Lonchura striata: one gene and its partner. The protein of the gene in region 1 interacts with the protein of each later gene in a biochemical or structural test. Links are inferred from orthologs where the notes say so. Each region holds a gene or a part of one and is shown in the gene's direction. Other genes may lie near its edges.

Region 1 (7,954 bases):
ATCCTAGCTGTTGGAGGAATGAGACCTAACTGTTTTTAGTATGAGTCTCAATTACAAAGATGTTTATCCTGAACAGACCTCACACCTGTTATTAATAGGAAAGTAAAACAATTAAAAGAGTAAAGGAGATTCAGAGTTATTCCAGCCTATCCTCTTTTCCTTGTGAATTCCCTATAAAGATTTTAGATAAGTAATTTGTAAATGCTTCTTTACCTCCCATTCCTTTTCAAGTACAAATCCCATTTGTTGCTTCCTTGCAGGGCAGAATGGCACTGAAGGGCCAGTGAATTGGAGCAAAAATAAGGACCTTTGTTCTTTAGAAACAGAAAGTTCCAAAGAAATCTATTTGTAGTAAGGTAAGTACCATGATCTTTGGTAGTTAGAGATGTAGCTGAGGTAAAGCATACTTGCCCTTACTTTGTGACCGTGTCTCCAGGATGGGGAACAGGGACTTCCAGGGTGGACCAGACAGTTCTGACCAAAGGACAACTGTAATCTGTTTAATCTTTCTCCACTTTCTTCTGCCTTCCAGGTGAATAAAAAAACCTCTGTCATCTCTACATGGTTACTGTTAAACTCCAACACAGGCCTATTTCTGCAGATGAAATATACCTGGGGTGTTTCAGAAGCTCCTTTACTGACTGTGTTTCTACTAGTCTCACTTGTTCAGTGGCAGTTACCAAAAAAGTTCCCATGTTCTTGCTTCTTGTTCCAGGATGCAGTAATATAATGCCAGGTTGAAAGAGAGAAGTTATAATATGTCACTAACCAGAAGACCTCGAGGAAACTTTTGACCACAGTGCTAGCTGCATTGTGCAATTCTGACTCTGATTTCTGTTCTGGACCAATTCACCTCTCCTCAGCTTAATGTTTCTCACTTTCATGTGGTCTGGAGATGCACTTTTGATCTAGTCTTCTGGAAATCTGTGCTTTAGTTACCAATATGCATTAGATGTTTGGGTATTATATCAACTAAGGCTCTCTTTTTCTTAGTTTGAGATTAGGTGGATTTTTTTTTTTTTTTTTGTCTTTAAATCCTTGGAAGAAAATACTTTCCTGGCAAACAATTTCCATTGTTTTAGATACTGTGAAATGTGATGTGGCTTATATGAGAAACTTGGTGAACTTGGGGCCATTGTCTGTTTGGGTTTTTTTGTGTGTTGTAAAGTTGAAATTAATACTGGTTCTTTGCATAAGATGCATGTTCCCTAAAACATGATTTAAGGAAACATCTGCTCACAACACATGTATTTGAAAAAAATAAATGGTGAAGTGCAAATACACATTGCTACTGTGGATCCCCATGAAAACAGCTTAATCTGCTTTCCCTGAAGTCTGTCTTTGATGCAAACTGAAGAGGGCCTTAGGTGAATGAAATGTCTCAAAAATAGTATCTCTGAAGAGCCCATCCTGCCTTTAATAGTCTGTTAAGAAAGCAAGACTCTAACACACTCAAACACACACACATTGTTGCTTGCTATAAAACTAAGGTTCAGTTAAAGAAACTGGACACTTTAGATTGTAGAATAGCAAAGGTGGATGAAATTTGAAGAGTTAATTGCTGCTGTTTGGTACTTATGTTATTGCCCAGGCAGAGAGACTGTCTTTAGTTTAGATTTGTAGGATTTGTCATTACCAGTGTTCTCCCAAAAAAATGAGCATGGCTTTAGTATATTTAAAATGTAGCCTTGCTTTAGCATGATTGCGCAAAAATAACAAAACAAAACAAAAAAAAACCTTGTAATGATAAAGGCATAGGATTTAATGATTAAACTTTAAATGTGAATTGGAAACATAGCTTGTAACTTAAAATGTTTTCTGTGTGGAAGCACCTGGGTTTATCTGAGGACAGATTGACCACAAGATTACTGAATGCCAATGGCAATTACAGCCTTATTGGATAATGCACTGGACAGATCCTTAGCCTCTGTAAACTGCCCTAGCTCCAAGAAGTTCAGAAGAGACAAATTTACAGATCTGATCCACATTTTCCTATAGTGAAAGTATATATGTTTTTTACTTTCCTTAACCATCAGCTCTCTATCTTTATCTAGTCATATATCAACCCTGATGTTTCTGTCTGTGAAGAACTGCACGAGTTTGGACACTAATTTAGACTGAACTTTGGTCAAAAATGAAGCCTTTTAATTTTTAACTTCCTTGCTTAGCAGATATCTTTAATAAGTAAGCAGTGTCGTTGTTAGTTCTAAATTACACCTTTAACTGCTTTTCTGAGTGCTTGCTTACACTAAAAACCAGGCAAGCAAAAACATCCCAAACTGTATTTTAAATCAAAAGTAGAGCCCAATGAACAACTGCATTGCCTATGTTTTCTCCTTCTAACCTTCGAACAGACCTAGTCTCCATCTTCTTGAACATGCATAATCAACTGAAAATCCGTAGGTGTAGTTCAGTAACAAATCATGAGCTGCCAACAGGAACAGTCAACAGAAAGATGAGAAAAAGAGATGTGTTGCACCTACGTGGGCAATTTTGGGTGTAGTTATGGGAAAGCCTTGAGGAGTTTTTATTCTTGTCTTGATGTATCTAGTCTTGAAGAAGTTCCATTCAATGGTGTCCAGCAAGACAGGGTCCCTTTAGTTGGATGATGAGGTGCCATGGTAAAGTGAGAGGAGAAAATTTTAGTTTAAGTAAATAGAGGTTAGACTTCTCCTGTGCTGGTTCCATTGTTACTATTGTTCAGCAGTAAAATATCTGGGCCTATCAGTTTATATGTCTCTAAATGAAAACTTTGTCTTGTGAGTGCAAAGAATAATGGGTGAGAAGGGCATGACCCACCATCTCAGCTCACTGTCAACATCATCGCCACCATTCCTGTTGGAGACTCCTTCTAGGCTCTCACCTATGGGAAAAACAGATGTGTAGAAATGGTGATGGTGAATGGGGCAGGAACACACCTTCTGGCTGCCAGCTGTGAGGGAGTGAAACAGGTAGGTGCCTCCCAAAGCTTGCATCCAGGTCACTTCAAGCGTACAGTGACATTAGATTACACATACCTCCTGGCCTGGGGATGCAGCTCCCAAGCACTGTTTACCCTCTCTGCCTCTTGCTGGGATGTGAACTGCTTTAAACAATTCCTCTTCTAATGAAGTACGGTCAGTCTGTGTTGGCTTTGCAGGCACCCATCTGTAGAGAACAGATCTGCTTGCTCCTCTCTCTGAGGATCCCTTCGTTCCCGCCCCATCGGCCTTGCTGGGAGATTAAAGTAGCAGCGGCCCCATACACAAACGCAGCTGGTTCCGTTTGGTCAGCCTGAGCCTTGCTGTGAAACCACGACAAGAATTCCAGTAAGTTGGCAACACTGAAACACAAAGAAAACAACAATAGGAAAAGACCTTCCGTGCAGAAAGGAATGTTTCAGGCGCTATTCCCCTACAGAGAAAGGAGAGAGGGTGGGAGGGAGGAGGGAGATTTGAAGAGGGCATGTCTCCCCCTCCCCCGGCAGCTCTGGATCTTGTGATGGAGAGATCTTATCCTCTCTTTGTGATTCAGAGGTGCCAGGAAGCTAATTGAATATTCTGATCTGCCCCCAGTGTTTCTTGTGGCTTGACCCCGGTGCTGTGTCGTACCACCACACCAAACAGCCCTGAACCTGCATAAATCACAACCTTGCAAAAGCCTATGCTCCACATCTTCTCTCCCCACCCCCCTCTTTACTATCTTGATAGATAGAAAGCCTTTACGGAAAGGTTTAGAGGGATTAGCGTCCTACAGGACCTGGAGAGAAATCACAGTCTGCTAATAAGCAGCGACATGTTCCTGTGCAACTTCTGCAGGAACAATACAGGCACCTCTACCTTTTTATTGAACTTGCAATCCATGGCAAAAAGAAGAATTAAGGTTTGAAATATTGCTTAAGTTCTTTTGCAGCATCAGCAAACAGCCCTTGCAGTATAATGAGCATGGCATGATGCTAATGCAAAAGATATGTGGTATCTGTAAAGGTGGTGTCATTAAAATTAATCTGACAGAACCTCTTGGAAGACAAATAGAGCTATCCTTCTCTCATGATATGTATGCACAGTAGTCACTGTTGACGTGCATGTGCATATGTGTACATATATGAAGAAAGTATAGCTTGGCATAACTAAATTTCCAACATGAAAGACTGTTTTTGACTACTAAAAAATTATTTAACTCCACGCATTTTATATATGATGCTTCTGATCCTGCAAGCAAAGCCTCTAAAAAGTTTGTTCTTTTTACCAAGGCTGCATTCCAGCCTGAAGTTAATCTTTATCTTCTCCCTGTGATCCTACACACTACTCTTCCCTTGTTAGTGTATATGGTTCCTGAAATGGCAGCAGTAAAACACAGGGAGATATTTCTTTGTGTATTGCACACACTGTTGGAGAGTTAAAACTAAAGGAGCATATCTCTAGTTGGTATCTTGAGAATTCACAGCTAAAGCACTTTACCAAACTGATTTTATCTGCTAAGAAAGTGCAAAAGTAAATTTCATCCCCACAGTTTTCCTTTCATAGTGTTTGTTGTGAGCACTACTAATTTCTAAGCTTTTCCTCTGTCTGCATCAGTGAGTAGATGCTAGATTTTTTTTCAGAGTTATCAAAAATACTTTTTCTTATTTGGGACACTAAAACCTATGACATTCATTACTTGCCACCCGCAGTTCCCAGAACTACTCAAAATAGATGAGCACATTAAATACAGCACCAATGGACTCTGATACGAAGTGAGCAAAGTGCAGGGTCTTGGAAGCATCTTGGCTATCCTGCAAAGTGTGGAAGGAGGGGCAGAGGGAGCCTGTGGCCGCAGGGCCTGGAGCACTGCCTGATTCCCTCATGCTGGTTCCGGGGCCGCCGGGTATAAAGAGCTTTATGCAATGTCTGGAGGGTGGGAGTTTATAGAAAACGCGATGTCTCAACAGGCGAACACGCCTTTCTTCTGCAACTAGCAGGACAAGAAAAAGATACCAGGCTCCTTGTGCTGGTGCTGTGCAGATCAGCACCCCGGAGTCCAGAAGCCAGCTTCTGAGAAAGCTGGAGCATCCCAACCCAGATGGGACCTCACCATCGGATGGATGGAAGAGCAACAACTGCTTGCAAACTGCTCATATTATTCACTGCATGCCTGATGCAGGGCAGTTGCCAAGGTAAGTGCTATGCTCCAGCCTCTCCGGAATAGAAATTGCACCGTAAGGAGCATATCCCTACTCTGGGGACTTTTATAAGAGAAAGATAAGGTGACTGAAAGTAGAGGGTTAACAGGCACTGATTCAAGGAGTTCTTTCTAATAGTTAGGGGAGACAGTTGGCTCTTTCCAGGAGTCATTTGATGGAGTCGGTTTCTGTTGTGGAAAAGTAAGTAGCGCCTTAAAAGCACTGCAAACATCACCGATTCTTCAGCTTAACTTCATCTTGATTTCAGATTATCGTAGGATGCTTCCTTTGATTGTTTTTCTAGTTTGTAGAAACTTTTTTTTTCCCTAGTTGTGTGTGTAAGCAACAGACAAATGTGGCTAATTTTTGATGGACATCTCAGACTTTGCAATTCCACGGTCTAAACGCATGGTTTTATGGAAATGCCAACAGGCAGGTTTTTCTGCGAGTCCTGATTACTGGCTGTGAATAAGGCCAAAAAAACCCCAAAAACAAGCAAACAAAAACACCCCAAAAACCAAACCACCCCCACAAAAAACCAAACAAATAAAAAACAAAAAAAAAAACACCAAAAAACCCCAAAAACAAAACAAAAAAACCCCAACCACCCCAGACTTTTTGCGTTTTTTCCTTGTGGTATTTGTGCCTTTCTTGCTACTGAAATACGGGTGATTTTACAGAGCAGAGTTCACCTGCATTCCACGAGCTGGTTTGGTAACCACTAAAATTGTACCTAGAGTTGTTTTTGTTGAGGAGTGCACAGCACTTGCACGTAGACAGGTTGGGTCGGGGGGCAGGGGGTTATGCATGGACATGCTTGCGTACGTGTGGTATATGCAGTCATTTACAGAAAGCTATAAGAAAGAAACAGATGCTTAGTCTGGAGCACAATAAGCTCCCCTCAGTCGGTCTCAGACGCAGATTTGAAGTTGAGAGAGGGAGAACTTTTTCTCTGGGCTTTACTGTTGCTAGGCGACATGGAGGAGCATGTGACTGGCAGAGCAGGCTGAGTGCCGCTCCTCCAGTGCTAATCTGGCTGCTGGGGATGGAGCAGCCGTGTGCCCAAGTCCTCCCTCCGGCCTCTGCAGCCGATATCCCTGCCTCCCCTTCTTCAGCTGTTTATTTGCCTTGCACTGAAAATCAAGCCTGTCGTGTTGGAGCACGAGTGGCTAAAGTGCATTTTTCCTCCGCCCCGCCTATTGACCTGCAGTTCTGCTGCTTCTGTGTGTGTCTGCATATTACGTGTGTGTTCAAATGGTTAATCTGCTTTCTTTGCTCAACTCTTAGTTTAAGCTCCTTAGACAGAATCAACTAAGTAATTATACAGCAACTGCTGTTAGCAGCTCCCACTTATGAACAAGGAAATAAGAGATAGCTAATGTGCTGGAGACCTGCAAAAACTCCAGCCAAGGAGGTCACACTGGGCAGAATTAATCCTATGCACTATTATTTTACATTGGGTAGAATGGAACTTGCAGTACAGATAAAATTTTTTTGTTGTTGTTCTGTAACTGCTTCTGATTGTCCAGAACATATCTGATAAAAGACATGACAGAACAAGCAGAGATAGGCTTTGAACTAGCATCCATAGTAGTATCCATACAGATTTTTTTTTTTTTTACTTTTATGATGTTCCTTCTGCTCTTTCTCCCAATCTCCCCTCCCCCCTGCCTCCACAGTAGAATAACTGTGGAAATCAAACACTATAATTTTAGTAATGGGTGACTGATACTAGGAAAATACCTGGATAGCAGGTATTTTGCCTGCACTTTGATTATGGCAGTGGAATATTTGTTAACCATAAATTACAGTTCCTTGAATGCTAAGATCATGTCAGACTCTTATTTCAAAAAGAAAATTTGAAGAACCATGAAAGCAATCCCAAGCCTTTGAAGGAAAATGGTGAAAATCTCTTATTTTGCCTTATCCTCAGTATTTCCAAAGGCACTTCACTGATGTTTTTTGAGATTTTTTTTTTTGGCAATTTTTGAGTGTTCCCAATATAAGATGGATGTTTCTAGAAGAATTTCACCTACACAATTCACCTTGTTCAATTGGTAGTACTCTTTTGCGATTTACCTAATTCTGGTTCTACTGAGAGTAACTGTAGTGCTCATAAACAGAATAAAAAAGTTTTGTAATTGCCAGCAGTACAGGGTCTGTTTCTCCTGCCTTTATAGGTCTTGTTGTCTGTGGGGTAATTGTTGTCAGAAAAAAGTGTAGCTGGAACCTAAAAAGTAGTTAAGTGAAGGCAGTGTCAAGCAGGAGCATTGTGGGACTATTGCTTATGTTTGTTTTGGGGAATATCAAAGTGCTTCACACTCAGCCATAAACTACAGACAATGGATGGATGTTAGTGCACCAAATTTGATTTGTATCCTGCACCTCTGCAATGATAAATTATCAGCTTGATACGTCCCAGGCAAATATGGCTAAAATTTTTTTACCATTATGAGGTCTCTATTAATCTGAGAATGAAGACTATTCTAAGAATGAATGCATATGGTGTGATAAGATATATAATCACAATGAACATTTGCATGAAGTGTGGCAGGCCATTAAGAAATAGGTATGGTAAGACCAAGTAGAGAAGAGTTACAGCAGTTCTTTCTGGAAGTCATGGAGAAACATGTTTTCCATAAGGCATTGTAATAGTTCAATCTCCAAATCAATAATTCAGTGTTTTTTAGATATTGTTTTCATTCAAAATTATTTAATTTTTCTGTAGGATGATGTACAGTGACATTGCTATGGGCGACAGGTCAGAGTCACTATTCATACTTCCTTGTACAGCACTGTGCACTTTTAAATGAC
Region 2 (7,252 bases), on another chromosome or scaffold:
GCTCCGGTACTGGGAATTCCGGCCCGGGAATTCGGGAATGTTCCAGTCCCGGGAAACCCGGGATGGGCGGGAATTCCACCCAGCGGGCCCGGGAAGCGCCGGGGGCACCGGGAGGGAGCCCGGCGGGATTCGGGACATTCCCAAATCCCAAAATCCCAAAATCCCGCCCCGAGGGGCCGGCGGCCTCTGTGCCGGGATCCGCGGGGCGATCCCGGTGCCGCCCCGGGGCTCGGAGCGGGATTTGGGATCGGGATTCCCAAAATTCCAGCCCACATCCAGGGCAGGGTCACATCTCTGATATCCCAAACCTCGGAGCGGGATTTGGGATTGGGATTCCCAAAATTCCAGCCTCGCCCAGGGCATCCGGTGTCCCGGTCTCTGTCTCCCGGTGTCCCGGTCTCTCCCGGTGTTCCGGCCTCTCAGTCCCAAAGTGTCCCGGGAATTCCGGCAGTCCCGGGATGTCCCCGCGGTGTCCCGGTCCCGGGGAATGTCCCCAGTCACTTTTCCCGTCACTGCTCCGGTGATTCCCGGTCCCGGTCCCTGTCCCGGTGCTGCTCCGGTGATTCCCGGTCCCGGGGGATGTCCCCGGTGATTCCCGGTCTCTGTCCCGCTCCCCGGTGATTCCCGGTTTCTGTCCCGGTGCCGCTCCGGTGATTCCCGGTCTCTGTCCCGGTGCCGCTCCGGTGATTCCCGGTCTCTGTCCCGCTCCCCGGTGATTCCCGGTCTCTGTCCCGCTCCCCGGTGATTCCCGGTTTCTGTCCCGCTCCCCGGTGATTCCCGGTCTCTGTCCCGCTCCCCGGTGATTCCCGGTTTCTGTCCCGCTCCCCGGTGATTCCCGGTCTCTGTCCCGCTCCCCGGTGATTCCCGGTTTCTGTCCCGCTCCCCGGTGATTCCCGGTCTCTGTCCCGCTCCCCGGTGATTCCCGGTTTCTGTCCCGGTGCCGCTCCGGTGATTCCCGGTCTCTGTCCCGGTGCCGCTCCGGTGATTCCCGGTCTCTGTCCCGCTCCCCGGTGCCACTCCGGTGATTCCCGGTCCCTGTCCCGGTGCCGCTCCGGTGATTCCCGGTCTCTGTCCCGCTCCCCGGTGCCACTCCGGTGATTCCCGGTCCCTGTCCCGGTGCCGCTCCGGTGATTCCCGGTCTCTGTCCCGCTCCCCGGTGCCGCTCCGGTGATTCCCGGTCTCTGTCCCGCTCCCCGGTGCCGCTCCGGTGATTCCCGGTCTCTGTCCCGGTGCCACTCCGGTGATTCCCGGTCCCTGTCCCGGTGCCGCTCCGGTGATTCCCGGTCTCTGTCCCGCTCCCCGGTGCCGCTCCGGTGATTCCCGGTCTCTGTCCCGCTCCCCGGTGCCGCTCCGGTGATTCCCGGTCTCTGTCCCGCTCCCCGGTGCCGCTCCGGTGATTCCCGGTCTCTGTCCCGGTGCCACTCCGGTGATTCCCGGTCCCTGTCCCGGTGCCGCTCCGGTGATTCCCGGTCTCTGTCCCGCTCCCCGGTGCCGCTCCGGTGATTCCCGGTCTCTGTCCCGCTCCCCGGTGCCGCTCCGGTGATTCCCGGTCTCTGTCCCGCTCCCCGGTGCCGCTCCGGTGATTCCCGGTCTCTGTCCCGCTCCCCGGTGCCGCTCCGGTGATTCCCGGTCTCTGTCCCGGTGCCACTCCGGTGATTCCCGGTCCCTGTCCCGGTGCCGCTCCGGTGATTCCCGGTCTCTGTCCCGGTGCCGCTCCGGTGATTCCCGGTCTCTGTCCCGGTGCCGCCGGAGCGGAGCCGGTTAAGCCCGCCCGGCTGTGTCCCCACGTGTCGCGACACGTGCCCGCGTGGCCCGGGACATCCCGGGACATCCCGGGACATCCCCCCGCGGAGCGCGACCCGGCGGCAACCGGCCCGGCCTGGTCCCGGTCCCCGTTCCGTTCCCGATTCCCGTTTCCGTTCCCGTTCCTGTTCCCGGTCCTGTCCCCGTTCCCGGTCCCAATCCCGGTCCGTGTCCCGTTCCCGTCCCCGGTCCCAGTCCTGGTCCGTGTCCCGTCCCCGGTCCTGGTGCCGTCCCCGGTCCCGGTGCCGTTCCCGTTACCGATCCCGGTCCGTGTCCCGTTCCCGATTCCCGTCCCCGGTCCCGGTCCCGTTCCCGTCCCCGGTCCCGGTGCCGTTCCCGGTCCCGTTACCGATCCCGGTCCGTGCCCTCGTCCCCGTCCCCATCCCCGGTCCCGGTCCCGTTACCGATCCTGGTCCGTGTCCCGTTCCCGATTCCCGTCCCAGGTCCCGTCCCGTTCCCGATTCCCGTTCCTGTCCCCGGGCCCGATCCCGGTCCCGGTCCCGGTCCCCATCCCCGGTCCCGGTGCCGTTCCCGGTTCCGTTCCCGATCCCGGTCCCGTCCCCGGGCCCGTTCCCGATCCCGGTGCCGTTCCCGGTCCCGTTACCGATCCCGGTCCGTGTCCCGCTCCCGATTCCCGTCCCAGGTCCCGTCCCTGTTCCCGATTCCCGTTCCCGTCCCCGGGCCCGTTCCCGGTCCCGGTGCCGTTCCCGATGCCGTTACCGGTCCGTGTCCCGTTCCCGTTCCCAATTCCCGTCCCCGGTCCCGGTCCCCGCGTGTCGGGGGCGGTCCCGGTGCCGCCCCGCCCCCCGAGCGCTGTCCCGGTTCCCGCCATTCTTCTCCGGGAGTGACGGGCGGGGAGGCCGTGCCTCAGTTTCCCTTGGAATGTGCATGGGGGGGCCGTGCCTCAGTTTCCCCCGGAATGTGCATGGGGGGGGCCGTGCCTCAGTTTCCCTTGGAATGTGCATGGGGGGGGGGCGTGCCTCAGTTTCCCTTGGAATGTGCATGGGGGGGAGGCGTGCCTCAGTTTCCCCGGGAATGTGCATGGGGGGGGCCGTGCCTCAGTTTCCCCTGGAATGTGCATGGGGGGGCCGTGCCTCAGTTTCCCCTGGAATGTGCATGGGGGGGGGGCCGTGCCTCAGTTTCCCCTGGAATGTGCATGGGGGGGGGGCCGTGCCTCAGTTTCCCTTGGAATGTGCATGGGGGGGGGGCCGTGCCTCAGTTTCCCCGGGAATGTGCATGGGGGGGCCGTGCCTCAGTTTCCCTTGGAATGTGCAGGGGGGGGGGCCGTGCCTCAGTTTCCCTTGGAATGTGCATGGGGGGGCCGTGCCTCAGTTTCCCCGGGAATGTGCATGGGGGGGGGGCCGTGCCTCAGTTTCCCCGGGAATGTGCATGGGGGGGGCCGTGCCTCAGTTTCCCTTGGAATGTGCATGGGGGGCCGTGCCTCAGTTTCCCCGGGAATTTGGGGATCCCGGGCCGTGCCTCAGTTTCCCCGTCCAGGTAGGCCATTAATTAATGGATTAATTAGTTAATTAGCGAAACCCCCCACCCTGGGGCCGAGTCGGGAATCAATAAATTAATAAATTAACTAATATTTGCGAACCCCCCTGGGGGCCGGGTTCGGAATTAATTAATAAATTAATAAATATGCGCGAACACCCCCGGGGCCGAGTTGGGAAATAATTAATTAATTTATCCATTAATTTGCGAACGCTCGCGCCCCCCCCCCCCGGGAATTAATTAATTAATTCACTAATTTATATTTGCGAACCGCCCCCGGGGCAATTCCGTTAATTAATTAATAAATTAATTTATATGCGATCCCCTCCCCCTCTTGCCACGGGCCGTGCCGGGAGTTCCCGGGGCAGTTCCGGTAATTAATTAATTAATTGATTAATTAATTGATTAATTAATATGCGAACCCCTCCCCCCATGGCCGTGCCGGGAGTTCCCGGGGCAGTTCCGGTAATTAATTAATTAATTATTAATTAATTGATTAATTAATATGCGAACCCCTCCCCCCGTGGCCGTGTCGGGAGTTCCCGGGGCAGTTCCGGGATTGAGCAATCAATGAGTTCATTAATTCATGCGTTAATTAATTAGCGGGGGCGGGGCCGTGACTGGAAAGGGGCGGGGACTTGCAGGAAAGGGGGCGTGGCCTATGTGTGGGCGTGGTCGGGGCGGGAAAGGGGGCGTGGCCTGCTCAGGGGGCGGGGCCTGGCAGGGATCGGACCTACCGGGGAATGGGCGTGGTTTGGTCGGGGGCGTGGCCGTGGCGGGAAAGGGGGCGTGGCCTGCTCAGGGGGCGGGGCCTGGCAGGGATCGGACCTACCGGGGAATGGGCGTGGTTTGGTCGGGGGCGTGGTCATGCCGGGAAGGGGCGTGGCCTGGTCTGGGGGCGGGGCCGGGGCCGTTCGAGAAAGCTCCGGGACCGGGACCGGGAACGGGAACCGGACCGGGAGCGGGACCGGGAACGGGACCGGGAGCGAGGTAACGGAGCGGGGACCCCGGACCCCCGAACCCCGAATTCCCGCTCCCTGAATCCCAAATCGCGAATTCCCAAATTCCCGAACCCCAAATCCCCGAATTGCCGAATCCCCGAACCCCGAATTCCGGTCCCTGAATCCCAAATCCCCGAATTCCCGGTCCCCCGAACCCCGAATTCCGGTCCCTGAATCCCAAATCCCGAATTCCCGGTCCCTGAATCCCCGAACCCCGAATTCGCGGTCCCTGAATCCCAAATCGCGAATTCCCAAATTCCCGAACCCCAAATCCCCGAATTGCCGAATCCCCGAACCCCGAATTCCGGTCCCTGAATCCCAAATCCCCGAATTCCCGGTCCCTGAATCCCAAATCCCCGAATTCCCGGTCCCCCGAACCCCGAATTCGCGGTCCCTGAATCCCAAATCGCGAATTCCCAAATTCCCGAACCCCAAATCCCCGAATTCCCGAATCCCCGAACCCCGAATTCCGGTCCCTGAATCTCTGATCCCCGAATTCCCGAACCCCCAAATCCCCGAATTCCCGAACCCTCGAACCCCGAATTCCCGAGCTCCAAACCTCCGAACCCCAAATCCCCAAATCCTAAAATCCCCGAATTCCCGAACCCCGAATTCCCGGTCCCTGAATCTCTGATCCCCGAATTCCCGAACCCCAAAATCCCCGAATTCCCGATCCCCGAATCCTCTGACCCCCAAAATCCCCGAACCCCAAACCCCCGAATCCTGAAACTTAAATTCCCAAATCCCTAAATACCCCAACCCCAAATCCCGGAATCCCGAATTCCCGAACCCCCAAATCCCAAATTCCCCATCCCAGAATCCCAAATCCCCAAAACCTGAATCGCCGGACTTCATATTCCCAAATCCCAAAACCCCAAATTCTCGACTCCCCAAATCCCTGCATCCCAAATCCCTGAACCCCCAAATCTGCAAATCCCAAATCCCCCTTTTTTCTCTTTTTCCCATTTTTTCCCCTTTTCCCCCTTTTTTTCCATTTCCCCCCTTTCCCATCCCCCCCTCAGTTTTGGGGTCCCCGGGCGTTTTTGGGGATTTTTTTGGGTTTTTTGGGGGTTTTTTGGGGGGTTTTTGGGGTGGGGGAGGGGCTGGAGCGGGCGATGCCCGGCGGGAATTTCCCACAATTCCCCGCGCGGGGCAGGAGCGGGGCCGGGATTTGGGATTTTGGGGATTTTGGGGATTTTGGGGATTTTTGGGGGCATTTAGGATTGGGGGGGGGGCGTTATTTAGGGTTTGGGGGAAATTCTTTGAGGTTTGGGATTATTTGGGATTTTGGGGTTCTTTGGGATTTGGGATTATTTGGGATTTTGGGATTATTTGGGATTTTGGGGAAGTTATTTGGGATTTGGGATGGTTTATTTAGGATTTGGGGGAAATTATTTGGGATTTGGGATACGGGAAGTTGTTTGGGATGGGTTCTTTGGGATTTGGGGTGATTTGGGATTTTGGGGGGTTCTTTGGGAGTTCTTTGGGATGCGGGATGGGGTTTTTTAGGATTTGGGGTTTTTTATTTGGGGGCGTTGTTTGGGGTTTGGGAGGTGGTTTTGGTTTATTTGGGTTTTATTTGGATTTTATTTGGACTTTATTGGGATTTTATTTGGGTTTTATTTGGGCTTTATTTGGGTTTTATTTGGGTTTTATTTGGGTTTATTTCAGTTCCTTTCCAAAGTTTAGCTTTTGTTCGAGTTTTATTTGGGTTTATTTGGGTTTTATTTGTGCTTATTTTGTTTTATTTGGGTTTATTTCACTGTATTTCCGTTGTTTTGGGTTTATTTGGGTTTATTTGGGTTTTATTTTGTTTTATTTGGGTTTATTTCAGTTCCTTTCCGTTGTTTGGGTTTATTTTGTTTTATTTGGGTTTATTTTGTTTAATTTGGGTTTATTTCAGTTCCTTTCCGTTGTTTGGGTCGGTTTCGGGTTTTTTTGGGATTTCACAATCCCGGAGCGGGCGGGGGAGGGGGGGGCGGGGCCGCTCCTTCTTTGGGTTTTTTGGGGTTTTTTTGGGGGGTGGGAGCTGCTCCTTTTTTGGGTTTTTTTTTTTTTGTTTTTTTTGGGTTTTTGGTTTTTTTTTTTTTTTTTTTTTGGGGGGGTTTTTTTGGGGGGGGGCGCTCCTTTTTTGGGTTTTTCTTTTGTTTTTTTCGGGGGGGGGCCGCCTCTTTTTTGGGGTTTTTTTGGGGGAGCCGCTCCCTTTTTTGCATTTTTTGGGGGTTTGGGGGGGTTTTTTTGGGCGGGGCTGCTCCTTTTTTGGGGTTTCTTTTTTCTTTTTCTTTGGGGGTTGCGCTCATTTTTTGGGGGGACACTCCTTTTTTTGGGTTTTTTTTTGGGGGGAGGGGGCGCTCCGCTCCTTTTTTTGGGTTTTTTTTGGTTTTTTGGGGGGGGGGGCGCTTCTTCTTTTGGGGATTTTTGGGGGGTTTTTGGGGGGGCCGCTCCTTTTTTGGGGGGGCATGGCCAGACCCCCCCGTCCCCATCCCCCCGACCCTGACCCTGTCCCCAGGCTGTGTCCCCAAATGTCCCCCAATGTCCCCAATTTCCCCAAATGTCCCCAATGTCCCCAATGTCCCCCCAAATGTCCCCGATGTCCCAAATGTCCCCAAATGTCCACAATGTCCCCAATGTCCCCAGTGTCCCCAGTGTCCCCCAATGTCCCCAATGTCCCCCAATGTCCCCCAATGTCCCCCAATGTCCCCCAATGTCCCCCCAGTGTCCCCAATGTCCCCAATGTCCCCAATGTCCCCAATCCTCCAATCCCCCAGTGTCCCCAATGTCCCCAATGTCCCCAATGTCCCCAATCCTCCAATCCCCCAGTGTCCCCAATGTCCCCAGTGTCCCCAATGTCCCCAATGTCCCCAGTGTCCCCAATGTCCCCAATGTCCCCCAATGTCCCCAATCCCCCAATCCCCCAGTGTCCCCAATGTCCCCAATGTCCCCCCAATGTC

The links.
Region 2: the proteins of LRP2 (region 1) and CLU form a complex in vitro, tested with the Homo sapiens proteins (3 studies listed by BioGRID). The link is inferred for Lonchura striata from reciprocal best matches to the Homo sapiens genes LRP2 and CLU.

Annotation. Positions count from the first base shown.
Region 1 is NC_134610.1:19,577,019-19,584,972, reverse strand, and holds the start of LRP2 (low-density lipoprotein receptor-related protein 2), read left to right. Parts: upstream 1-4,867; 5' UTR 4,868-5,040; coding exon 5,041-5,134; intron 5,135-7,954. UniProt on the Homo sapiens protein: Multiligand endocytic receptor. Acts together with CUBN to mediate endocytosis of high-density lipoproteins. Mediates receptor-mediated uptake of polybasic drugs such as aprotinin, aminoglycosides and polymyxin B.
Region 2 is NC_134605.1:112,889,506-112,896,757, reverse strand, and holds the start of CLU (clusterin), read left to right. Parts: upstream 1-4,189; 5' UTR 4,190-4,290; intron 4,291-7,252.